Linked DNA regions of Danio rerio. Each later gene encodes a partner of the first gene's protein in a complex. Links are inferred from orthologs where the notes say so. Each region holds a gene or a part of one and is shown on either strand. Other genes may lie near its edges.

The links. The genes of interacting proteins can lie anywhere in the genome.
Region 2: ccdc135 (region 1) and fbxl13 share a complex: the UniProt entries of both Homo sapiens proteins name them as parts of the nexin-dynein regulatory complex. The link is inferred for Danio rerio from reciprocal best matches to the Homo sapiens genes DRC7 and FBXL13.
Region 3: ccdc135 (region 1) and drc9 share a complex: the UniProt entries of both Homo sapiens proteins name them as parts of the nexin-dynein regulatory complex. The link is inferred for Danio rerio from reciprocal best matches to the Homo sapiens genes DRC7 and DRC9.

The regions. Positions count from the first base shown.
Region 1 is NC_133200.1:14,659,689-14,668,022, forward strand, and holds the start of ccdc135 (dynein regulatory complex subunit 7), read left to right. Parts: upstream 1-3,164; 5' UTR 3,165-3,270; intron 3,271-3,390; coding exon 3,391-3,521; intron 3,522-6,451; coding exon 6,452-6,626; intron 6,627-7,509; coding exon 7,510-7,635; intron 7,636-7,732; coding exon 7,733-7,927; intron 7,928-8,334. UniProt on the Homo sapiens protein: Component of the nexin-dynein regulatory complex (N-DRC) a key regulator of ciliary/flagellar motility which maintains the alignment and integrity of the distal axoneme and regulates microtubule sliding in motile axonemes.
Region 2 is NC_133200.1:19,759,348-19,767,656, reverse strand, and holds the start of fbxl13 (F-box and leucine-rich repeat protein 13), read left to right. Parts: upstream 1-3,608; 5' UTR 3,609-3,661; coding exon 3,662-3,736; intron 3,737-3,931; coding exon 3,932-4,035; intron 4,036-4,151; coding exon 4,152-4,239; intron 4,240-4,316; coding exon 4,317-4,384; intron 4,385-4,456; coding exon 4,457-4,611; intron 4,612-6,664; coding exon 6,665-6,774; intron 6,775-6,853; coding exon 6,854-6,952; intron 6,953-7,034; coding exon 7,035-7,130; intron 7,131-8,309. UniProt on the Homo sapiens protein: Substrate-recognition component of the SCF (SKP1-CUL1-F-box protein)-type E3 ubiquitin ligase complex.
Region 3 is NC_133193.1:29,335,888-29,344,451, forward strand, and holds the start of drc9 (dynein regulatory complex protein 9), read right to left. Parts: upstream 4,702-8,564; 5' UTR 4,562-4,701; coding exon 4,463-4,561; intron 1-4,462. UniProt on the Homo sapiens protein: Component of the nexin-dynein regulatory complex (N-DRC), a key regulator of ciliary/flagellar motility which maintains the alignment and integrity of the distal axoneme and regulates microtubule sliding in motile axonemes.

The DNA.
Region 1 (8,334 bases):
TAAAAAGCCAATGGAGTTAGTTGAAAATCTAAACAAGCAGAGGTTTGTTCACAAAATGGGTAAAAAGCGTTTTTGATGAGTTTTTTATTTCAAGTTAAAAAAGTTACAGTCTAGCTACAGTCGAGATTGCAACGTGGATCCCGAGACAAATTACAGATGTTATTTATTCATTTAAAAGTCTGTTTTAACATCAAGTGTAAAACTAACTAATATTATATATTATCTCATCCCTGTGTGTGTGTGTGACCCACACAGCCACACACACACAAACACACACAAACACAAAGCAATTCCAGGTATGCCCTATAGCATTAAAACTTAAAACTGTCTCTTTCTTTGAAGATAATTTTTTTTCTCCGTAGATTCGATTTTTATTTAAATAAACTGCATGTTAAAATATATTTTAAAGGAAGTTTTATCTTAATGTAAAATTAAATAAAATAAATTCACAAATAGGGCGTCACTGTGACGCAGTGGGTGGCACGGTCGCCTCACAGCAAGAAGGTTGCTGGTTCGAGCCTCGACTGGGTCAGCTTGCAGTTCTGTGTGGAGTTTGCATGTTCGGTTTCCTCTGGGTGCTCCGGTTTCCGGAGACATACCACAAAGACATGCGGTACAGGTGAATTAGCTAAGCTAAATAGTCCATAGTGTATGTGTGTGAATGAATGTGTATGGATGTTTCCCAGTGATGGGTTGCAGCTGGAAGGGCATCTGCTGTGTAAAATAAATGCTGGATAAGTTGGCGGTTCATTCCGCTGTGGTGACCCCTGATTAATGAAGGGGCTAAGCTGAAAAGAAAATGAATGAAATGAATAATATGTACAGTTAATTAGCCATATTTGTGATTAGATTATAACATTTGCATGTGCAGTACGGAACAAACGTTCCACTATTTATGCGGGCCCCCGATTTTGAAATTAAATAATAACATTACAATCTCAATTGATATAGATTTTAAAAAATATGATCGAACATTTGTAAAAGAGCTATATTATTAATTTAGGCTGCTTGGCATTGTTCAGGGCCCCTTTTACTGGCCGCTTACCTTACCTCATTTATTGGGTAAATTTGCCCCTGATTGCCAGCATAGGCTATTTTGAAAGTACTTGACATTTCATTTACGCTTAAATGCCAACCGACACAGCCAAGACTCGAACCAGCGTCAGCGACCTTCATACTGTGAGGTGACAGCACTACTCACTGCGCCTCTCAGTATACATATTCATTCTTTTCTTTTCTTTTCTTTTCTTTTCTTTTCTTTTCTTTTCTTTTCTTTTCTTTTCTTTTCTTTTCTTTTCTTTTTGGCTTAGTCCCTTTATTAATCAGGGGTCACCACAGCAGACAGAACCACCAACTTACCAGCATATGTTTTACGCAGCGGATGCTCTTCCAGCTGCAACCCAACACTGGGAAACACCCATACACTCTCATTCATACACATGTACTATACGGCCAATTTAGCTTATTCAATTCACCTACACAGGGAAAACATGCAAACTCCACACAGAAACGCCAACTGGCCCAGCCGAGGCTTGAACCAGCAACCTTCTCCACTGTGACACCATGTATATAAATAGTCTTTTTTTTTTTTTTTTTTTTTTTACATTTTCCTTATTCTTACAATACTTTTAACTAATTTTCAAATATCACAGACACTAAAATAACTCCTATTTATTATTATTGTCTACATAATCTTTTTTTTTGTCTAACTTATTATCATAAATGTAACAATTTGTGCTAAGGAAATAATTATAATTTTTTTTAAATTAAGGCTGAAATTAAAACTTTAAATAAAGCATAAAATTAAATGTAAAGAAATATAAAAATTAAAAAAACAATTCAATATAAAAAATAATTGTGGACTGGAGTTTTTAAACTTTTTATCAGTCTTGGACATGTGAAAGATTTGTAACAACATTGCCTTTGATGTATTGTTAGTTTTTGTGCAACAGAAGGTTTTCATTTTTTCTCTCCCTAATTTACTGTTCTTGGTTGTTTTTGGCCTATTGACTTACATTATAACCAATTTTTTTGATTGCAAAGCCATGACACCATATAATTATGCATTTTTGATTGTCGAGGTAAAATTTTTAATTTTTATAAGAATGTAAAGAAATTTAGAAAAATCAATAAAACAAATGAATATTGAGTATTTTATTTACGCTCCTACATACACACCCACAATAAAGGAACAGTAACATTAACTAATTTAAATATAAATGTATATTTTAGCCACCAATGTTGCAATAGTTTAAAAGTGACAGTAATTTATAACAAAATATTTTTAATTAGATGTTTCTTTACTCACCTAAGATTTTTTTCAGTCTTTTTTATTAGTCTTTTGTCTGACAATACAAATTAAATAGTGAGAGGTAACGGTAATGTATTGTCCATGGTTAATCCCATCCCCTAACCTCTCATTCATTAACTCAATTAACAAAACAACAACATCAAATAAATAAATAAATGCCAAAATAAAAAAATTGAATACATGACAAAATAATAATGGAGCCTCGACTGGGTCAGTTGGCAGTTCTATGTGGAGTTTGCATATTCTCCCCATGTTGGCGTGGGTTTCCTCCGGGTGCTCCGGTTTCCCCCACAAGTCCAAAGACATGCAGTACAGGTGAATTGGGTAGTAGGTTAAATTGTTCGTAGTGTATGTGTGTGAGTGAATGTGTATGGATGTTTCCAAGTGATGGGTTGCATCTGCTGCGTAATGCTGGATAAGTTGACGGTTCATTCCCATGTGGAGACCCCAAATTAATAAAGGGACTAAGCCGAAAATAAAATAAATAAATGAATAATAATAGCTGGATATAGATGGTAAAAATAATAATAATTAAAATAATAATTATAATAATGAAAAAAAAAACCTTCTAATAAAATGGTAGAAGTTACAGGTTGCCAGCAGCAGATGTAATAGGCAGGCCTTTGGTGTAACTTAGTCAAGAAAGGAATCTCAACTCTTATAAAAGGAATCTAGTGAGCCAGAGAGTGAGCATCTCAGCTTTTCAAGTCTGATACAGTAAAAAAGTCCTGGATCCACTTGAAGATTTATTATTCTGATTTAAAAATGTAACAATTTAAAATGAATTCAAAATAACACAAAAGCTGACTCCACCCCGCGCTGTTACGTCACGTCTCCCCTCGCCATGGAAACTAAATTGCGCAACATAAACAAAAGTTTCACGCTCCTGCCGCTCGTTACGTTAATCTACTGTTTATCAGTTAATTTAGATTAGGGACGTATATTCACTTTTATAAACAGTAAGTCTTTAAACTGCTAACTGTAAAAGTAACAAGATGTATGTGTTTAATGTTTCAGTCATCGACCTGCTTTCTCCTCTCTCGTCTGTCTGTATAATTATTGCTTTATTAATTCATTAGATGGAAGTGTTACCGGAGATGGAGAGTGAGGAAGACGCGACTCTGACAGATGATGAAGAAAAGAAGGGGTTTCGGGAACTTGAAAGCAGCCTTAATAATAACATACGATTGACTCCAGACCTTCCACACATGTGAGGTTATTAAAGTTCATCAGCATGTGGCAAACTCGTGTGTTCATGAAAGCTCGCGTTTCTCCACAGGGGCTTCTCGTAAATGGACGCTGGCTGTTTACAGTGTTTGTAATCATTAGCCATAAACATGAGTGGTGTATCAACTGTGGGCTAGTAGACCAAAGTCAAACTGTTTCACTTTAACAAAAAAACTACAGGGTACATTAGTGCACAGAGAACAGGGTCGCGCTTGTTGTTTGTTTTACACTATACTTGTTTGTCTTTATCTGTGCAAAACGTGTTAGGAACATGTCCAGGTCAGTGTTATTTTAGGTCACTCAACAAATAAATTCTCCATATAACAGGTTTTTATGATTAGGATATTTTCTGTTATTATTGAAAGATTTATAAATGTTAAAAGAAAATCGAATTAATATTGTGTCCCTTATGTATGTTAAGAATGTTTTCATCCACTCTGGGGTGATTTTGAGTCATAATTTGGTCATAACGTTCTCTGTGTTTCAGCTAGCAGAATGGTTTTTGGTAATAAATCTTTATTTGACATATTTTGGAGAAAATGCTTTGAAATTAAAAAACAAAAATAAATGTACTGTTCTTTTTTATATTAGTGATGAAAACATCCAATGAAATAAACTGATGTAAAAGTGCATCAGATTAATATTTTTTCTTTATTAATTTTTGCATAAGTCTGTTAATCAACCTCAGTCCTGATCAAAACTACTAAATTGCTTATAAAATTACAGGATTTTAACTCTTTAATTGCCAAATTCATAAATGATGTCACTGATATGGTGAAAACCCCCTACAAAATTACTTATTTTCTATATAAAAAGTAATTGTACACTGGATTTTTAAAAAAACATTTAATCACAGTCTTGGACATGTAAAATATTATTAACAACCTTGCCTATTATTTAATGTTAGTTTTTGTGCAGCAGAAGATTTTCTCTCTCCCTAATTTACTGTTTGTGGCTGCCCCATTGACTACCATTAATCACATTTATTAATTGCAAACTATGACATCATATAATCACGCACTTTTGATTGTTGGTGGTTTTCCCTGTTGGGAAGAGGTCAAATTTATTTAATTTTTATTTATTTACCTTGATGCATTCGTTATTTAATGTTTGAATACTGAAACAAATAACAGACATCGCTTAAAAGGTTATATTTTACCATCAAAATGCAGTTTATTTTATATCTTAATAAACTTTTGATATGAAACTGCTGTGTAATTTAATTGATTGTTAAATATGAAATTATTTAAGTGCTATATAGTTTATTAGTGAAAGTGCTTATTAGTGAAAATATATTTCTGCCACTATAATACAAATGCACTATTATTGTTACATTATCATTGTTTTGTTTTCTGTTCTGTACGGATATTTGAAATATATTATTTATTTCCCCTCCAATCATTTTCATTCATCACCATACATTTTGGTCGTTTTTCACTCCAAGTAAAGCTTGCCCAGAGCCTCGCAACATTTGACCTCTAAATAAATAGGGGTGCTGTGACTTGTAGCCCAAACAAGAGAGCGGCATAATGTAAGTGTTAAGTCATGCGGTTGCTTTCGCTTTTACATATTAAAATGAAAAAAACTAGTGTTGGCTATTATTAAAATTTCTTTGTACAAAGGGAGCCGTTTACATTACGTTACCAAGGCAACTACTGATGTGTTTTATGTAACATTTCAAAGAGCTTTGTTGCAGCACGACAGTGGAAAATGAAACCATATCCGTACTGTCTGGTCCAGTTTGGCATGGTTCCACATAAAGAACGGTTCAGCACCATAGTGGAAAAGTGGCTTATGACACTATATAATGATGTGTTGGGAAGAAGTAAAGTTTGTCATTTCTAAGGTTGAACATCAGTTGGCACCATTAACACTTTAGATAGATTTATATGGCATATAACAGCAAATTAAAGTGTGTATTTGTGTCTATGAGTGTGTGACCTTACCTTGGTGTCTCTGTAAAAATCAAAATATGCATTTCAGCTCTCCGAACTACATGGAGTAAACAAAAACAACGCCTGTTTTTATGCACAAGGTTTAAAAAATCCAGTCCAACTCCTTTTTTTATTGAAAATAAGAAATTTTATGTTTTTCTTTCGCCAAATCAGTGACATCATTTATGAATTCTGCAATTAACGAGTTAAAATCTTGTATTAAAAAAAACATTTAGTAGTTTTGATCAGGACTATGGTTAGGACAATAGTTTATATATAACAATGGTTTGTTCTGTAGACTATCGAAAAAATAGCTTAAAGGGGCTAATAATTTTGTCCCTAAAATGGTTTTTAAAAAATTAAAAACTGCGTTCATTCTAGCCGAATTAAAACAAATAAGACTTTCTCCAGAAGAAAAAATATTATCAGACATACTGTAAAATTATTTGCTCTATTAAACATCATTTTGGAAATATAAAAAAAATTCAAAGAGGGGCTAATAATTCTGACCAATTGTACATATACTCTTGCTTTGTTAAAATAATTTAGCCTTCAACTTGCAATTTATCTAGTAAAATGTGTGATGTTAAAGACGAAATAAATTACTTATTAAAACTAAATGTTAAGAAACTCATTTGAAAAAGATCGAAAATTTCACCTAATACTTTTGTGCTGTGTTTGTGTGTATATATATACATATATATATACAGTATATATATATATATATATATATATATATATATATATATATATATATATATATATATATATATATATATGACAAGAAATTTAAAATTAAATAAATTAAAATCATAATTAAAAATTTGAAAATCATGATCAATAATATTTCAAGTTTTTAATATTTTTCTTAAAAAAAGTTATTTGTGTTTATCACTCTCATCGTTTTATTATGTTTAGTATACGATACAGTTATCCTCTCTGCTTACGTTTATTGTTATACTTATTTATTGTAATACAGAATGAAACCAAGAACTCCAGTTGATCTTTCAAGATATCCGTCTTCATACAAGCAGAATTCCTCACAGGAGACGCTCATGCTGGCCATGGCGGAAAACTTCCGTCAGCAGTTTGTGCTGTTGTATCCTGATAGAAAAGCACTTCTGCTGAGTCCTGTAAATGAGTGTGGTGTTCAGGTACATACAGCAAATCTGACAATTATCCAGCTTTATAGGCAATCTGAATATCAAGACAAATGAGAAGAAGAAAAAAAAGAAAAACACAACCCTGCAGCATGATGAATAATTAATATAGGTTATACACTTTTAAGTGCATTTATGTAGATGGGTCAAATGTATAAACTGATTAAAAATGCTTTATATCATATCTTAATTATAAATGGAAATATATTTGTTAATTTATAAATAACTATAATGTTTATAGTTAAGTATAGAATAAATGATTAAGTTTGAATTGTGTGTATTTATTAATTATCAAATTTAATTATGATTAGTTTAGTTTTAGACCTACTGTAAAACTTCAATTTTGGAATATGGCAAAAAATAGTATTATGCATTTATTAAATTGCATATAGTTAAAATTTAAATGATATCCATTATTATTATTTTAAATTATATCAATTATTTATTTATACATTTCTATAAATGTATTTTTACAGTTGGTAATTAAAAACATTCAAATTTGGTTACAAGCTATGATTAAGACACAAATATTATTAAGATACATTACTGTATTAAGCATTATTTACAGTAAAACTGCTGAACTATAATACATATAATTTCCCCCCTTTAATTAAAGTTATAAATTGTTATGAATCTATAAATTGCATGTTAATAAATGAATGTAATAAAAAAAAATCTGACTTTAAAATCTAGAATAATACATGCAAATTGTATTATGAGTTTATGCCTAAACTGCATATTTATAATTAACATCATAGACTAATTAAATAAATAAAAAACTTATTGATTCATTTTTGTAGATAATTTTCTAATAACAAACTGTGAAATACTCATGAATCATATTATATAAAAATGTATTTCTTCACTATATTTTCAGAAGTTTGTAAGCACCACCTTGCGAAGCTCCTTACTTCCATATCCTGAGCTTTACGATTGGGAAGGATGTGCCAGTTTTGTGTCTGATTATCTCTCACTGGAACTTTTGGATCCACCATTTGAACTTGTATTTTCCTTTTTTTTTTAAAGTTGATCCATCTTGACTTGTGCTTTTTTTTTTGCATCTCATACTCAAAAACATGTTTTTTTGATTTCATTTCTAGCCCAAGCAGCTGTCCTCCCCAACTCGAGTTCTGCAGACTCAGAGAGGCACGTGTTTTGAGTTCTCTATGGTGTTGTGTAGTCTGTTGTTGGGTGCAGGATTTAATGCTTACTGCGTCAGTGGATACGCCACTAAAGAGATGTGCCTGCTTGATCAGTCCCGACAGGAGTGTCCCTTGCTGAAGCCTCCAAAACAGGTATCTTCCGACTGATTCCAAGCCGAATAATTAAGCGCATCTTCTGTTAAAAAAAAAGGATAAACACTCACTGGCCACTTGATTAGGTACACCTTACTAATACCGGATTGGACCCCCTTTTCCCTTCAGAATTTTCTAAATATTTTGTGGCAAAGATTCAACAAGGTATTGGAAATATTCCTGAGATTTTGGTCCATGTTGACATGATAGCATCACACAGTTGCTGCAAATTTGTCGGCTTCACATCCATGAGGCGAATCTCCTTTTTCAACACATCTCAAAGGGACTTTAATGGATTGAGTTCTAGTGACTGTGGAGACCATTTGAGTAAAGTGAATTCATTGTCATGTTCAAGAAACCAGTCTGAGATGATTTGCACTTTTTGACATGACGTGTTATTCTGCTGG
Region 2 (8,309 bases), about 5.1 Mb from region 1:
TAGCGAGGCCCACTCATCTTCTATTTTAAACTATAGTTTCAAACTTTAGTTTACTATAGTTTGAAATAGAAACCACGGTAACTGTTATGATTAAACCTTTAGCAAAGAGCTTAGAATGACCAAGAGCAACAGACCCGGATTCCGCCAGTTTCAAGTGATAGCGATCGCTCGTCATTGCTGTCGCGATGGATGGAAATCAGCTGCTTTTTATTTATTTATATTATTCAAAAAGCGCGTTATTGTTTCCCAAATTGTAGAGTGTCGCCTCTTGGTAATTCTATGCTCTTTGCTCCATGTCTGACTGTTGTAATGTTTTGCTTTGTTTTTCAGCTCAGTTGTTGAGCAAAGAAGGACTATTGAAGACAACAGTTGAAGACAACCGCGGGTTATATTCACGAGCGCGCGCATTATAATGTTTCCGGGCTGTTTTCTGAAAGTGTGTCTTGTTTAGATAAGTTTGCATGTCAAACTAAATAAACTATACTCTTTCTAAACACCTGTCTCGTGTTTTATTTGTCCTCTACAGCAATGCACTGTCATATAAGTCTGTTGAATGCATTTGTATGCAACATGGTTTGACAATACAGAAGTCTAACAAATAAATAGTTGTTATAAATGTACTTTCATTAGTCAACATTTGGTGTTATGGTTGTTTCATAACTATATTTATTATTATTCTGTATGTTTAAAACCAGCAAATTATACTATATATTTAACATGTCACATATTCTTCTTATTCTTCATTAGGCTTGATCCGTAAATTGTGTATTTTATAAACTGATCGTTTATAAGGACTAAGCTATTAATAACTGTAATTCCTCGAATGGAAAAAGTCTTGATTAAAGAAAAAGAGAACTTAATTCGACATATTCATATAGTGCGCTTATTTCTGCCGAATTACCTTTTTTATTTTTTTGCACTATAAATGCATCTGGCAGCACCGAAAAGAGCAAATGTCAAGTTATTAGCGCAGCGCACAGACAGCTAGCTCGTCTAGTCTGAACCAGGGGTTTTCAAACTATTCATTGCACACCGATCCCATTGCATTTTATTTAGGATAAACCACTTATTTAAAATTAATTAATTAAAAGGTGCGTACTCTCCAATACACCACTGAATTATAGTGTCATAATATTTAATAATTATAATTAAGATAGACACCTGACCTCCATTTAATAAACAATTTATTTGCCATACTCTGTTAATTTGAAGTTTAAAGTTTAAATCATTTATGTTAAACTTAAATTATTTAAAAACTTAAAAAGACTTAAATTTAGTCATTTAAGACATTTTAGGTCATAAGTTTACATACATTGACCGTTGCATTTAGTAGGCCTATTCTGGTCTAAATAAGCTTTTTGCATCTTAGGTGTTTACACACACAATTAAGCAGTTTATACGTACATTTAATGTTACTTTGAAATTACTTTTGATGGAATAAATAATCCTAAATAGTTGAAAGTGTTAACATATTCTTGAAATGTAGTTATTTTATAACTATGAAATTTATTACTAAACAAAGTGAATCATTATGAATTTGCCAAGAAATAATCCACTTTACCACTGTAAAGCAATGCCCCACACTCACTAGAACGGTAGAACCTGGACTGTATGATATGTTCTGTATGTAAAATAGAGAAAATAAGCAAGATGCGCAGTCTCATGCTGCCTTAGTGAAATATAGTGCGTCACAGCAATGAACTAAAAATAAAACCACCCTTGAAATGCTGGCGATCTTAATTTTTTCAGCCTACACTGACTGAGAATAATGTTGCACTATTTTATTAACAAATAATTAGAATGTTTTTTTTTTTCCTTCAACACATTCATCATTACTTTTGCCTGTGCAAGTTTTTTGCACGCGCTTGAGCGCAAAGGCATCTATTTTCAGGTGCAAGATGCCACTTTGGGTGGCACCAGCACACTCTGCCACACCTGTGGCTATGTCTCTGCTACAATAATAATAACAACAATAACGACAAAATAATAATAAAAAATAATAATAATAAGACAGGCCTACTTTGACGTTGCAATAAAAAAGTATTAATTATCAAATAAATATTTACAATAGGCTAAAGGCATATATTAAATTAAAATAGGAGAAAATCCAATAGAAACAAATGGTACCATTTATTATAGCCCCATGCAGGGTCCAATGTGTTCTTACAACCATTGAATAACTAAGTAAATAATAATAATAACAATACTAATAATAATAGGCCTAATAATAATAATAATAATAATAATAATAATAATAATAAATTATTATTTTATACAGAGTAGGCTATTATTTAGGCCTACAATAGCTCTGAAACAATCATGTAAACTAGGTGCTGCTCGGAAATGGCTATCTTTGCTCAGCATCAGGTGCACAGCAGCAAGAAGCTTGGCAGTGAACTATGACCTTATTTTAATGACAAATGTCTAAGAATACTGCTGATTTACGTTTTTATTTAATTTATACATACGCAATGAATGTAAGCCTGCTAACTGTGTGTGGTTCAAATGATAGAATATGTAAACTTTGTTTATATATATAATTAAATAATAATAATTAAAAGCCTGCGTGTAAGGCTTTTATTTTGAGAGTGACGTCACGAGCGCAGATTTGGTTAACCAATTAGAGGAAAGTGGGCGTTTCAGCACCGCCTACATGTGTAAAAAGAATTTTAAAGTCGTTTATCCGTTTTCCTACCCTAAACCAAAAAAACGAAAAACCCAGCCAAAATCTCGTTTTTTCGTTTTCTCGTGAGCAAAAGAAAAACGGAAAAACGTCCGTTTTCTCCATTTCCTTTATTCCGTTTGAAAATGAAAAACAAATGAACAAAACGTACACGGACCTACACGGACCTTTTAAGCACTAGCTTTATTTTTGTCATTGTTATCCTATTGTACTTTTAATTTTATATTTTCCATTTTTACTTTTAAGTTGTAGTTGAAGTATTAATAATTTTAATTTGTACATTTTTTATTTATCTGTTTTTTATGCCTATATAGCTTGTCTTTATTTTAGTTTATGTTAGTTGAATTAGCAATTAGCTAAATTTTTCTTTTTTAAATATTTCTCAAATGATGTTGAACAGAGCAAGGAAATTTTCACAGTATGTCTGATAATATTTTTTTCTTCTAGAGGAAGTCTTTGTTTTATGTTGGCAAGAATAATATCAGCTTAGAATTTTTTTAAAAGCCATTTTAAGGTAAAATTATACTATAATCATCCTATCTGTCTGTCTATCTATCTATCTATCTATCTATCTATCTATCTATCTATCTATCTATCTATCTATCTATCTATCTATCTATCTATCTATCTATCTATCTATCTATCTATCTATCTATCTATCTATCTATCTATCTATCTATCTGTCTATCTGTCTGTCTGTCTGTCTGTCTATCTATTTATCTATAAACTGTTATAAAAAAAATATTATAAAAGTGTGTTATACAATTGCTTAAGAAAACTTTCTTTAATAAAAGTATATACATTTATTGTTCTGTGTTTATTGTAGTTTACTTTTGGGGTTATTTCATGTGACCAACCAATTGTTCAGGTAACCAAGTAACATGAAAGGTAAATGTTGACAAAAGTGTCTCAGGTTATTGTTACACTGACAGCAGGAAATCATCTACCATTCACAGTGACTCTCTCACCGCTTTTATAATGGCATTTTTGCAAGATTCAGATGCGATTTTTAGAGACTACATTATTAAACATTCACTACCTCAGATTTACAAGGTGATTTAGGTTTGTTTTTAAAATAATTTTAGTTTATTTTAAGTTGTAACTTTATTGATTTTACATTTGAAAAAATATTTTATTTCATATTTCAATGTATTTAAAAAATATTTTAAAAATTTAACTGTATTTTGATTTGAAGTGGTTCTTGTTGTTGTAGTTATTGTTGTATATATATTATTCCATTTTATCTAGGCTTTACTTTCTGGCTTATGTGTCTCATGTCCTGAAGATCCTTTACACTTTATGGAGGAAAAAATACTATCAATCCTACAGGATCAAGATTTTGAGATTGTCTGGTATGTTGGCTTCTTTATATATTTGTTTCATTAAACTATAAATAAATTGTGCCTTTTTATTGCAAAATCAAGTTCAGGTTAATATTCCTAAACATGTTTTTTTTTATATATTTCAGGCACACATTTATTGACAAAGACAAACAAATCTCCTCATTGGCAGGAGGCATTGTGAATTATATTTTTGGATATCCAGAAGACAGCCTGGTAAAACTCTCTTTGTATGTTTTTATTCAGAGTGAATGTTTATAAGCATAAACTCATTTCATTTTCCTCCCTCATAGAATCTGTCACATTTGCTGGAGAAAGCTTACACTTGTTACCACACCAATCTGACCAAAATGTGTTTCACGTAAGTCTTTAAAGTACAGAATAAATTATTTAAAAGTCAGCTCTTTTAATATCTTGTCTTTTCATATTAAAGGGGTTGGAAGAGTTACATCTGGCAGAAAAAGATGAAGGCTGCCCGGCTCCTTGAAAGAATGGAGGAGGCTGAGATGTATCACACACAGAGAAGGATAAAACTGGCTTTCATAAAGTGGACAGCATGGGTTCAGTTTCAGAAACAGCGATGGAAAGGTATTTAGCTTTCATGGTCTATAATACAAACAGATGATATTGGAGATACTTTAAATATTTCAGAAATCCCAGTCAAATTTAGTTATACATGTGCCCCTGGATGCTTGATTCTGATTCCTTGAATATTGTGAATTGAAAACGGGAAAACTCACCTATGAAATTGTACAATAATTATGTAATCTGTAAAAAAAATAATAATTCCGGTTATGAACATTTTAAATTATAATAAATAATAATAATTGCAAGTCATTTTTGGAGAAAGATTAAGTAATCCAGATAAAATGTAACCCATTACTGTCAGCAGGTACTGTTTATTACAGGCCCGCTAAAAGCACATGTTGGATTGTCAGAACACTATTATATATTTTGTACTTATGTACTTACATTATGCCAAAAGTTTTGTTTAATGTTCAAATAATAATAATAATAATATTTGACATCATAAACCCTTCATTTTTGAAAACTTGATGATTACACACACGATCACGACATCCGCAAACTAAGCCTTTGTTTGTTGTGAATGGACGCCCTCTAGAGCGGAGAAAATTACTTAATGTGCCTTTGAATGCTTGATCATAATTGGCTATAAATTGTGAATCAGTGAGACTGAGATGTTGAGGTAAGTTTCAAAAAAGTCTTTATAAACCTAAAAGATCAGAATAAACTGGAGGTTTCTTAGACTTTTTTTTCAGTGTGTTGATGTACAGTACTTCCAATTTAATCTAAAAGCAGGTACTGAGTAGAGGGCAGTGCTTTTTATTCCCTCATAGCAAACTAATGGTAGAGGGGCATGGTTAAGAATGTTGTGGCTGAAGCCATCATTCTGACATCAACAGAGAAAGACCCCCCCCTCCAAAAATCAATGCAAATGGTCAGATTTGGACTGAAGATTTGTTAAAGTACTAGCACTCTACTTGTTGTAATGATATAATCACTGAAGGGTTTGACATTTTGATTCAGTGTATTACTGTACTTTAATGATGACGTCATGTTTTTTTTTTACATGCTTTACGTTTCCATGTTATACTGTTGTTGTTTTTTTTATAAGGAAGTTTTACCATCTCATGTTCATACTGTACAGAGAGAGCACGTGAAGGTCAGAAATAAAAAGGCACTGCTAAAAACGATTCATTCTGTCTAATGATTAATCTACGCACTCAAAGCTCAACAAGATTACTCAAACAAACTTTTTTTTCAGTGGATTAATTGTTTACCCAAAGAATTACAATGTGCGATATGCAAAACAAACATTGTAAATTTTGATTTCACTCAGACTCAGAAAGCATACATCCATAAAAAGGCCTCAAGGTACAACACTGTGTTCTTAACAACTTTAATAAGTTAAAGAATTATAGCATTTTTCAATTTTTTTTGTCATGGGTTTCTCAATGCAACTCTCTGATTGATTTTCTGATTAAAAAATAAAATAAATAAATAAAAATGCTGAATTTATATGAATAAATGGATTCAACAAAAGGTAAAATTAGCAAACTAAAATATTCCGGAAGTCAAGGACAGCTCTTTCAGCTTATCTTCCTTTGTAGAGGATGAATAAATAATGGCAATAATGGCAGAATTTTGTTTTCTTTTTGGTACATTTAAATACATTTAAATCTCACAGTACTTCACTTCATAAGCTCTAAAATAACATTTTGCAAATAAAGTAGCAACAGAGACTTGGGATGAAATGCAAAATCTAGTGTCAAAAGACGGACACATATCTTGAAATAAAATCAGCACAATGTCTTTAGTAACCATTGTATAAGTGGAGTTATTTGTAATATATGTTACAATAAAGTTAGTAACTACACTGAAAAAAAAATTTAATCATTGGATTTACTGAATTGTTTTAAGGTAACTGGTTTAAACAATTTATATGGGCTCATTTTAAGCAAACAAATTAAGTTGAACATTACTAAATGTAATTTGTTTGTTTAAATTCTGCCCATATGCTTTTTTTTTACTAGTTTGCATGTTACCATATAAATTTAGTGTGTTATTATTTCTGTTCTCTCTATATATCATGAAACAAGGCATTCTTTAATTTATCTAGATGCAGAGAGGAAACTACAGAAGGTTCAAGAGTCTGTACACTGCAGAAAAATCATCACGGCTTGGCGTCATGTTGTGCAGGACGCTAAAAGAACAAAGGAATACTTTAAGGTATAATTATTAAAACAATCAGCTAAACCCAAATGCATTGAATTCATGAGATATTCAGCTATTATACATGTCTGTTCAGAAACTAGAAAGAGATATGAAGGAAAGCCAGAACTCAGGCATACCACAGGGTGATGGACAGGACAATCTGTCACTGCTGCCCAACAGGCTGTTTCTCAAGGTATCATTTGACTACCACTAACTGTTAAATAACTGGCAAAAACGTACAATCAGCTGTGATTGAAATGAACCGTTTGGTGCAGATCTTCCAAAGTCTAGGTGTGCGAGACCTGCTGAAATGTGCTCAGGTTTGTCAATCATGGAAAGCAATCACTCAAATCAGCTCACTGTGGACTGAGGTTAGTGCAGCTGACCTAAAAACTGTCAAATTTTCCCTTTAGAATTTAGAAGTGCATGTTTAATATTTGTATACATAAAATCTTTAAGAATATAGTAAAAGTATATAAGAAAATCAACAGATTTGCCCTTTTTTAAACACAATGATGTTATATTAATAATTATATTAAAGCATATTGTGTACTTGCACTTGAAAGTGTTGTTTCATTTGTGACAATGCATGAAAATATAAGATGCTCATTAAATACAAGGCAGATTCAATGAAATGTCAGTTAGTAATGCTTTAACATCACCCTCATTGAACCCTCATGTTCCAAATTTAAATTACCTTCTTATGTGGAATTAAGGTAAAAGCTAACAAGATTTATTTCCCATTGAACTCACAGACAAAAAATATTATATCAATTGGAAATCAAAATGAGGAAATTTTTATGGTAAAACTTAATGTTGTCTTGACAAAGATTTCTAAATTTTTATGTTGTTAGATGTTAGAGAAATTATTAACATGAATTAGTATGTTTGTAACATGATTTAGCATGTTGTTTATTTTATAACAAGCACTATTACTGTATGTTGCTAGCTAGACTTTTGTTTGTGTGCCTCTCACATGAATTAGCATGTTGCTCGCATATTTCAAACAACAATCTACATGTTTCAAACTTAAATATATGTATCTAACATGAACTGGCATATCTTGTTGTTAGCAATTAGCATGCTGTTACCATGTTTATAATTTAAAATACCATCTTTCTAATATGAATAAAAAGTATTAGTATGTTAACTATGCTTTATTAGTGAATTTGCATTTATGCTTCTAACAATAAGCTAGCTGCTAATGTAAATTCCACTATACTGTTAGCACAAATTAATTTCAAGCATAAAGTTGATAGCAAATAACATGTCTCCAGCATAAATTACAGTGTTATCCAGCAAGCATGTTTCTTGCATGGTTAGCACGTTGTATGCTAGTTGATAGGCTTTTCTAGTTTGCAAGTAGCTTAAGATCTGAAAGTTAAAGCCTGGCAATGAAAGTCTTTGGGATTTCTTTATTTTGAGGATCATTTAGAAGTTATATTGCATAAACATGTTGATCAGAATGACTGTCTAATGTGAGTTTGGTAGTTTAAGCTTCAAGTTTTAGGAATACTTTAAGACCAGACTTTTATAAATGTTAACTCAGA
Region 3 (8,564 bases), on another chromosome or scaffold:
CTTTTCTCGAAGTGACGGAGAAACAAAGATCTTGTCTTCAGGACAGGATTGTGGTGTGGGACTGGTTTCGGCGGCTTGAAGGATTTCATGTTCGATGTCCCACTGGATAGGAGCGACAATGAGAGGATCTTTGATTATGGGTTCATCATTGTATTCGGAGGTTTCATCGTCTGAGAGGCGGGAAAGAGCATCTGCTTTGATGTTTTTTGAGCCAGGGATGTAGGTGACTTGGAAGTCGAATCTAGTGAAAAACAGAGCCCATCGAGCCTGTCTAGGATTCAGACGTTTACAGGAGCGGATATATTCCAGGTTTTTGTGATCGGTGATGACAGTGAAGGGATGTTTGGCGCCTTCAAGCCAGTGTCTCCATTCTTCTAGCGCGGCTTTCATGGCGAGGAGTTCTCGGTTTCCCACATCGTAGTTCCGTTCAGCGGAGTTGAGTTTGCGAGAATAGAAGGCACAGGGATGGAGCTTCTTCGTAACTAGTGATCTTTGGGACAGGATGGCTCCAATTCCAGTGTTGGATGCGTCAATTTGAACTACAAAGGGTTGCTCGGGATCAGGATGACGCAGAATGGGTGCACTGGAGAAGCGGGTTTTGAGCTGAGTAAACGCTCGGACAGCGTCTGGGTTCCATTTGAGGCGAGCGTTGTTAGCTTTTACCATGGCGGTAAGTGGAGCAGCGACTGAACTGAAGTTTCTTATGAAGCGCCTGTAGAAGTTAGCAAAGCCCAGGAATCGTTGAAGTTGTCTTATGGTTTCGGGTTGTGGCCATTGTGTCACGGAGTCGACCTTTTGCTGGTCCATGGCCACGCCTTCGGGACTGATGATGTAACCCAAGAACGAAATGCAGGTCTGATGGAATTCGCACTTGGAGATCTTTGCATATAGCTGGTTTTGAATGAGGTGTTCGAGCACTGCCCTGACGTGCTGAATATGCTCAGATAGCGAATTTGAGTAGACCAGGATGTCGTCAATATACACTATGACCCATTTGTTGAGCATGTCTCTAAATACCTCATTTACAAAAGCCTGGAACACGGAAGGACTGTTTGCTAGGCCGAAGGGCATAACGAGGTATTCATAGTGGCCGTCGATTGTAGAGAACCCGGTTTTCCACTCGTCTCCCTGTCGTATGCGGATGAGGTTATATGCACTACGGAGGTCCAACTTAGTGAAATACTGGGCGGATCGGAGTTGCTCAAGGGCGGCTGGAACCAATGGCAAGGGGTAGCGGTATTTGACTGTGATCTCATTTAAGCCTCGGTAATCAATGCATGGGCGTAAGCTGCCATCCTTCTTCTTGACGAAGAAAAAGCCTGCTGAAGCGGGTGAGGTAGATGGTCGGATAAAGCCCTTTTCTAGCTCCTCAGAGATGTAATTCTTCATAGCTTCAGTTTCAGGTTGAGAGAGGGGGAAGATGCGGCCACGAGGGGGCGTGGTGCCTGGTAGTAGTTCGATGGCACAGTCATTTTCACGATGTGGAGGGAGCTTGGTAGCCTTCTGTTTGTTAAATGCCTCAGTTAAATCATGATAAGCATCAGGAACATGACAGAGTTCAGGGTCTTCTGTGTTGGTAATTGTGTTGATCTGGACAGGGGAAACAGAATGCAGACATTGGGTAAAGCATTGATTGCTCCATTTTGTGATCTCACCAGTTCTCCAGGAGACTTGAGGGTCATGTTGTTGTAGCCATGGTAACCCAAGAATTACAGAGTGCTTGGGGGACTCGATGGCAAGAAGGGAAATCTCTTCTTCATGGAGAGAGCCTGTTTGAAGAGAGATTGGTTGAGTCTGGAATTTTATGTGTCCCTCTCCCAAAGGGCGCCCGTCTACAGCAGTGATGGCGATGGAGGAATCACAGGAGGTTAAGGGAATGGAGTGAGTGGTGGCAAACGTGTAATCAATAAAGTTGCCAGCGGCTCCTGAATCGATCATGGCCATAGTCTCAATTTCATCTCCATTGTTTCTCAGAATGACAGGCAAATTCATAACATTATTAGTGGTAGTGAACATAGTGGTTGCACTCACCGAGACGGTTTTAGGGAGAGGCTTGTGGGGACATAAAACCTTCGTATGACCTGGAAGTCCGCAATAAATGCACAGGTGATTTCTTCTCCGTCGTTCTCGCTCCTCTGGGTTCAGGCGGGTTCTACCCAATTGCATGGGTTCAGCGGAGGTCTCAGGGGATACAGGACTGGAAGCAATTGAGCACAGTGGATTGCGAGTGCGGAGGAGAGTGTCTAACCTTATAGAAAGTTTGATTAGTTGATCCAGTGTTTTTCCCTCGTCACGACATGCCATCTCTTTCTGCAATTCTGGTTTTAAAGCCGTTCTGTAGAGCGTGGTAAGCGGATCATCAGCCCAGCCAGTTTGCGCTGCCAAGGTGCGGAACTGCAGTGCGAACTCAGCTGCGGAGCGATCTCCCTGTTGGATGCACAGTAGCTCCTCGCCAGCGTTGCGACCACCCTCCGGATGATCAAACACAGTGCAGAAACGTTTGAGAAAGTCATTAAACGAGGGAAATATCGGGGTACTGTCTGGCCAAACTGCAGTAGCCCAGTCTAGCGCTTTTACAGTGAGCAGTGAGCACACAAAAGCAATTTTCCCATTCTCGTCCTTAAACAGATGGGGCTGTTGGGCGATAAACAGTTTACATTGCAGTAGGAAGCCTTTACATTTTGCTGGGTTACCTGAGAACTTGTCAGGGAATGCCAATCGAACTCCGGAAGTCATCGGGGGTTGTGCAACAACAAGTGGACTTGGAGAGTAGTTGGCGGTGGGTTGCGCAGTGGCAGCAGCTTGCAGGTTTTGTAGGGATTTCACCAGTTCGTCTGTTAACTGAGTTAGATGTGTTAGTTGTTGTTGGTAAGTAGACAATACCTGAGCTTGTGCTGTGACTTCGTGAGACAAAACCTGGATGGCTGCGGGATCCGTGTTGGGCGAAGTCTTCTGTAACGGGGAGACTGACATGGAGGGATCCATTTTGCAGTATTTATTAAGTCACACTTAAACATCAACAACTCGCACGGCTGTGCGGACATACAACATACACATCAAAGGAGGTTTAGCAGATAACAGACGCAGAGTGATTACCAGGCTTGGGTCAGAGGCAGGCAGCGTGATTCAGAGTCCATGTAACAGGCTTTGGTCGAGGGCAGGCAGCGAGAATCAGAGTCCGAGGAAACAGGCTTTGGTCGAGGGCAGGCAGAAGACAGAGCAGAGTCGTGAAACGGGCTGAAGTGGTAAACGGGAGATCAGGCAGGATAGAACGCTCAGAAATGCTGGCCGGGGCTAAACAAGACTTCGCACTGAAGTGTGTGTGTGAGCTGCTTATATGTGGTACGTGGGTCATTAGTGGAATGGAGAACAGGTGTGCTGGGATCAGGGTGAATGGATGACGTAATGGTTAGAAGTCCGGAGATGGTGACCTCTGCTGGTCAGCGAGGGGAATGACTGGGACCGAGTCGGTGACACAGACGTTGGATTTTGGTTGCCATACCTGATGAATAAATGTCAGTATTTGACGTTAATATGACTTTGGTTTAAGATGTTGGCTCAGCTGTGGATTTTGGTCTCTTTCTAACAAGCTACAATCGATAAAATATCAACGTCATTTGACGTCATTATTGGATATCAAAATAACGTCCTTAGACACTGGCAAGACATAGAATTTTGGTCACCTGACATCACAACCTAAATCAAACATAATATAATTTTTTTATGACGTTGTGGGCATACTGGACAATAACTATGCACTACAGAATGTCACATTTAAACACATGCACAAATTACATGTACACGCATTAGCTTTTTACAGCACTATATATATATACATATAATTTTTTTGATTTTTTTTTAACACACACGCCTCACCTAGAAATGAGCACTGGTTAAATGATCACCAGTGCTACCTCCTCATAATGTGCTATATATATATATATATATATATATATATATATATATATATATATATATATATATATATGAGAGTTTAGTATGTTTGGGAGTTTAGTCTTCATAAGACTTTGTAGAAATTCTGTTAATTAAACTGCACAACCCAAAAGAAACAATGATAATCAAACGGATATGAGTCGGCTAACTATTGAATTGATTTTATTTTATTTGACATTTTTGCATTATGAGAAAAAAGTGTCGTTATGGATGTGACAGCTGTGAATTTGACCAATTATTTGACCAAAACCAAAAAGTGTTACTTTGTGCCCCGCTCTACCCTACTAAAAATAATTTCATGACTTGAAACTGTTTAAAATAATGTTTAACGCAACAACATCATATAATAGCCTATCAACCAACAAATCCTAACTTTGTTTAATTCACCAATAATTATTGGCCATGACACTAAATATAAAACATAATTTAACAAGCATATCGGGCATAACCGAGCAAATGTAGCAGGAAGCAGATTACTAAATGTCCTAAATTTGATGTTGTTACTCACAGTCTCCGCTCCGGGGCGTATAATATTTCCTAACACTGACAGCTGATCAGCGCAATCCTGCAGCAAAGCACACGCTCTGAGCTCCTCCACGGACGTCATACTGCTGATTTGGGCTATATAGAAATTTAGATAAATATATAAATAAAATTAAAAGGTTTCTTTCTTTTAATCCTTCTAAACAAAGAGGCAAATCAGCCGTGAAGAAGACGCTACACGTGCAGCTGTAGCAACAGCGTCCGTCGTCATGACAGCACGTCTTGTACACACAGATCCGCTCCGTTTGCTGGCTGTTCTTACAACAGACTGAATTAATTTACGTTCATGAACATCATGTTTTGACCAGTTTTCCATGCATTTTTTGTCTGCTAGAAGGTGGTTTATTGACAAAACTGACTTATTTTGACATTTTGACTTATTTTGTTTTTCTTTATCTTAAACATGCTGTTCATTGGTAATGTTCAGGACTTCTAGGTATTTTTATAGGTAACCCTTTTAAGATTTATAATCAGTAGATTTGTCTACAATACTCAGTTTTGGGCTGCACGGTGGCACAGTGGGTAGTTCGCCTCACAGCGAGAAGTTTGTTTGTTCGAGCTTCGGCTGGGTCAGTTGGCGTTTCTATGTGGAGTTTGCATGTTCTCCCTGTGTTTTCGTAAGTGTGTTTTTTGGGTGCTCCGGGTTCCCCCATAAGTCCAAAAACATGTGGTATGGGGAGAGCGGGGGACGTGTAACACTTTTTGGTTTTGGCCAAATATAAAATATATGGTTAGACAAACCATATTTTTAACCAACAACACACAAGCCTCTCCTACAAATGAGCACTGGTTGTATGATCGCCGGACGTATGTGCATTGCCAAAAGTGCCAGGAGTAAAAAATACTATTTACCCCACCTGTGGGGCAAGTTGTGACAGACAGAGTTTTAGTTGTAACATATGCTTATAAAGACATATTTAGTATTGCAGGTTTCAATGCTGGTTTTGCTGGTATGGATGCTTGTTTTGCTGATCTCGATGCTGGTCTTGCTGAAACCAACATTGAGACCAGCAAAATCAGTATTGAAACCAGCAAAACCAGCATCGAGACCAGCATTAAAACCAGCAAGACCAGCATGAAAACCAGCGAGACCAGCAAAACCAGCATTGAAACCAGCAAGACCAGCATCGAGACCAGCAAAACCAGCATCGAGACTGGCAAGACCAGCATCGAGACCAGCAAAACTAGCATTGAAACAAGCAATACCAGCATTAAACCCAGCAAGACCAGGATCGAGACCAGCAAAAACCAGCATTAAAAACACCAAGAGCAGCATCGAGACCAGCAAAACCAGCATTAAAACCAGCAATACCAGCATCGAGACCAGTAAAAACCAGCATTGAAACCAGCAAGACCAGCATTAAAATCAGCAAGACCTGCATACCAGCAACAATACATACCTTACCAGTATGCTAGGTTTTTTTTTGTTTTTTTTTTTATAGCAGGGATAGTGTAAGGCTGCGTTTTAGCTGGATTAGCTTGTCGGCTGGTCATTATAACTACAATTTTTAAAGTAGGCTACCAAAATATTTGCTAAAGATTTAGAATAAAGAAATATGAATAAATATTTATTTTTAATATTCAAATTTATTACATCATATTTCATTATAATTTTTTAAAAATCTGTTAAAGTTTTAAACAAAAACTGTTGTCTATTGTCACTTATGTAACAAATTGGCCAGCACATTCAACTTTCCTCAGTCAGAATTTGGCTGTTTGAAAAATAAAAAGATAAAATATAATAATAATAAAAGGGTTTCATGATTTGTCTTGCCTCTCTTGTAAAAAGTACATGTGATTAAAAATTAATGGATAGCCAAATTAGTATTTTAGTGCTTTGGCTATTTTTATTTCAAGAATATTTGTTACAAGATTCAGAATAAAAGTTACAAGTAAAATGTTTTCTCTATTTAAAAACAATCCAGTAGTAAAGGATGACTTCTCTTATGTCAGATTGTGTTTTCTTGCACAGCTGGATGTTGAAAAATAATAGTTTGCCTTGAACAAAACTGATTAGCTGAAGTCACACTGATGTGACGGTCAACAGAGGATTCCACTTAGTCTTAAAGCCTTTTTCAATTGGTTATTTTTTTTTTTTAGAATTTATGATGGTGAAGCAGTCAAAATAGGACAAATGAGCTCATTGGACAAACTAACTTTGGACCTTTGTCATTGAGGAGGGTCTTTCTAACCACCAAATAACCCCCTGGCCATGGAGCTGTACTTCTATCACTGTTTCATTACTCATTTAAGCTTACCCCCAAAACCGGATTAAAACCAGCAAGACAAGCATTGAGACCAAAACCAGCATTGAAACCAGCTAGACCAGTATTGAAACCAGCAAGACCAGCATCAAAACATAGAGTATATGCTGTTTTTTTGTATTTTGTTTTTCTTGTTTATTTTTAAGCAGGGAAGGTGTAAGGCAGAGTTTCTCAACCACGTTCCTAGAGGACCACCAGCACTGCATGTTTTGAATGTCGCCTTTGTCTGTCACACCCATTACAGGTGTAGTCTCTGCTAATGAGCTGATGATCTGAATCAGGTGTGTTTGGTTAAGGAGAGGTGGAAAATGCAGAGCTGGTGGTCCTAGGAACGTGGTTGAGAAACACTGATGTAAGTTTTGTTTTCTTCCTAAATTGTGGACCTTTTTGGAGTTATCTGCCTCGTTTTTTTTAAATACTGCATTTTAGCTGTATTAGCTTGCCGGCTGATCATCATAGCCACACTATTTAACGTAGAGCTACCAAAGTATTTCCCAAAGATTTAGAATAAAGAAATATGAATTTAGGGCAGTACAGTGGTGCAGTGGGTAGCACAATAGAACAAAATTATAGTAAACGAGCTTTGTGAGTTGTCAGTAAAAAAGTACATTTGATTGAAAATGAATGGATACCAGCACTAGCCAAATTAGTATTCAAATTCATTTTTAATTTGGGCCCCTTTTGGTGCACAGCTGGATGTTGGACTCATGAAAAATAATAGTTTGCCTTGAACAAAAACTGATTAGCTGAAGTCATACTAATGTGACAGTCAACAGAGATTTACGCTTAGTCTTAAAGACGTTTTCAATGGGTTATTTTCACAATTTATGATGGTGAAGCAGTCAAAATTAGACAAGTAAGCTCATGGGACAAACTCTGGACCTTTGCCATTGAGAGGCGTTTTTCGAACCACACAATAATAACCCCCTGCGGACTGTACTTCTATCTCCTGTTCCTTTACACTGAAAATCTTACTGTTTTCTTCAAACCTCAAACTTAAAGGTACTGTACCTTTAAGTAATGTACCTTTAAACTTAAATACTGCAGTTGACCATAAAATTAGGCTACATTTCATTTTTAAGCCTACTCAGCCTCCACTTGTTCCAAACCTAGTTCAACTTTATCGTCTTAACACAAAGGAAGATTTACTGAAAAAATGTTTGGGGGAAATAAAACAGCCACTTCCATACTATTTAGTTCCTACAATGGGAGTCTGAACTGATAGTGAGAAAATTTTTAGTTTATGGAGCCATATCCCATTAAAATATTAGCTTTCGTGTATGTTACTTTTTCTAAACAGCAGAGGGCAGCAGAACGCGGGATAATGCTCCGCGCATGTCAGGCTGTACTAACAGAACGCAGAGTAGTCTACTTCAATAGATAACACGTAGAGCACGTGCGGCAGGATTAAACCACAACACTTAAATGTCCCTCTACAATTGCAAATGCCTGTAACAAATGTCTTAAGTATTTACAAAGCCTCCAGACTGACTGACAGGCCAGTAGGATATAAATGGTGAGAGCTCAGACAGTCGCACACACACACACCTGTTGGCAGAGCAGCTGGAAATGGGCTTTTGCCTCACCACATTCAGGGCAAACAGATGACCATAATTAACTGAAACCAGGTTAACAGCATGAGGCTAAACGGTGGACGGAGAATCACGTGACTAGTTTAAAAATGATTAATCCCTAACCACAACGTGAGAATAGGAATACAGTCTTTCTAAACAAGCACTGTAGAAAGAATTAAGTATGAAAAAAATATGTGATGCTTAATTATTTAAAATGTGGACTTGTATT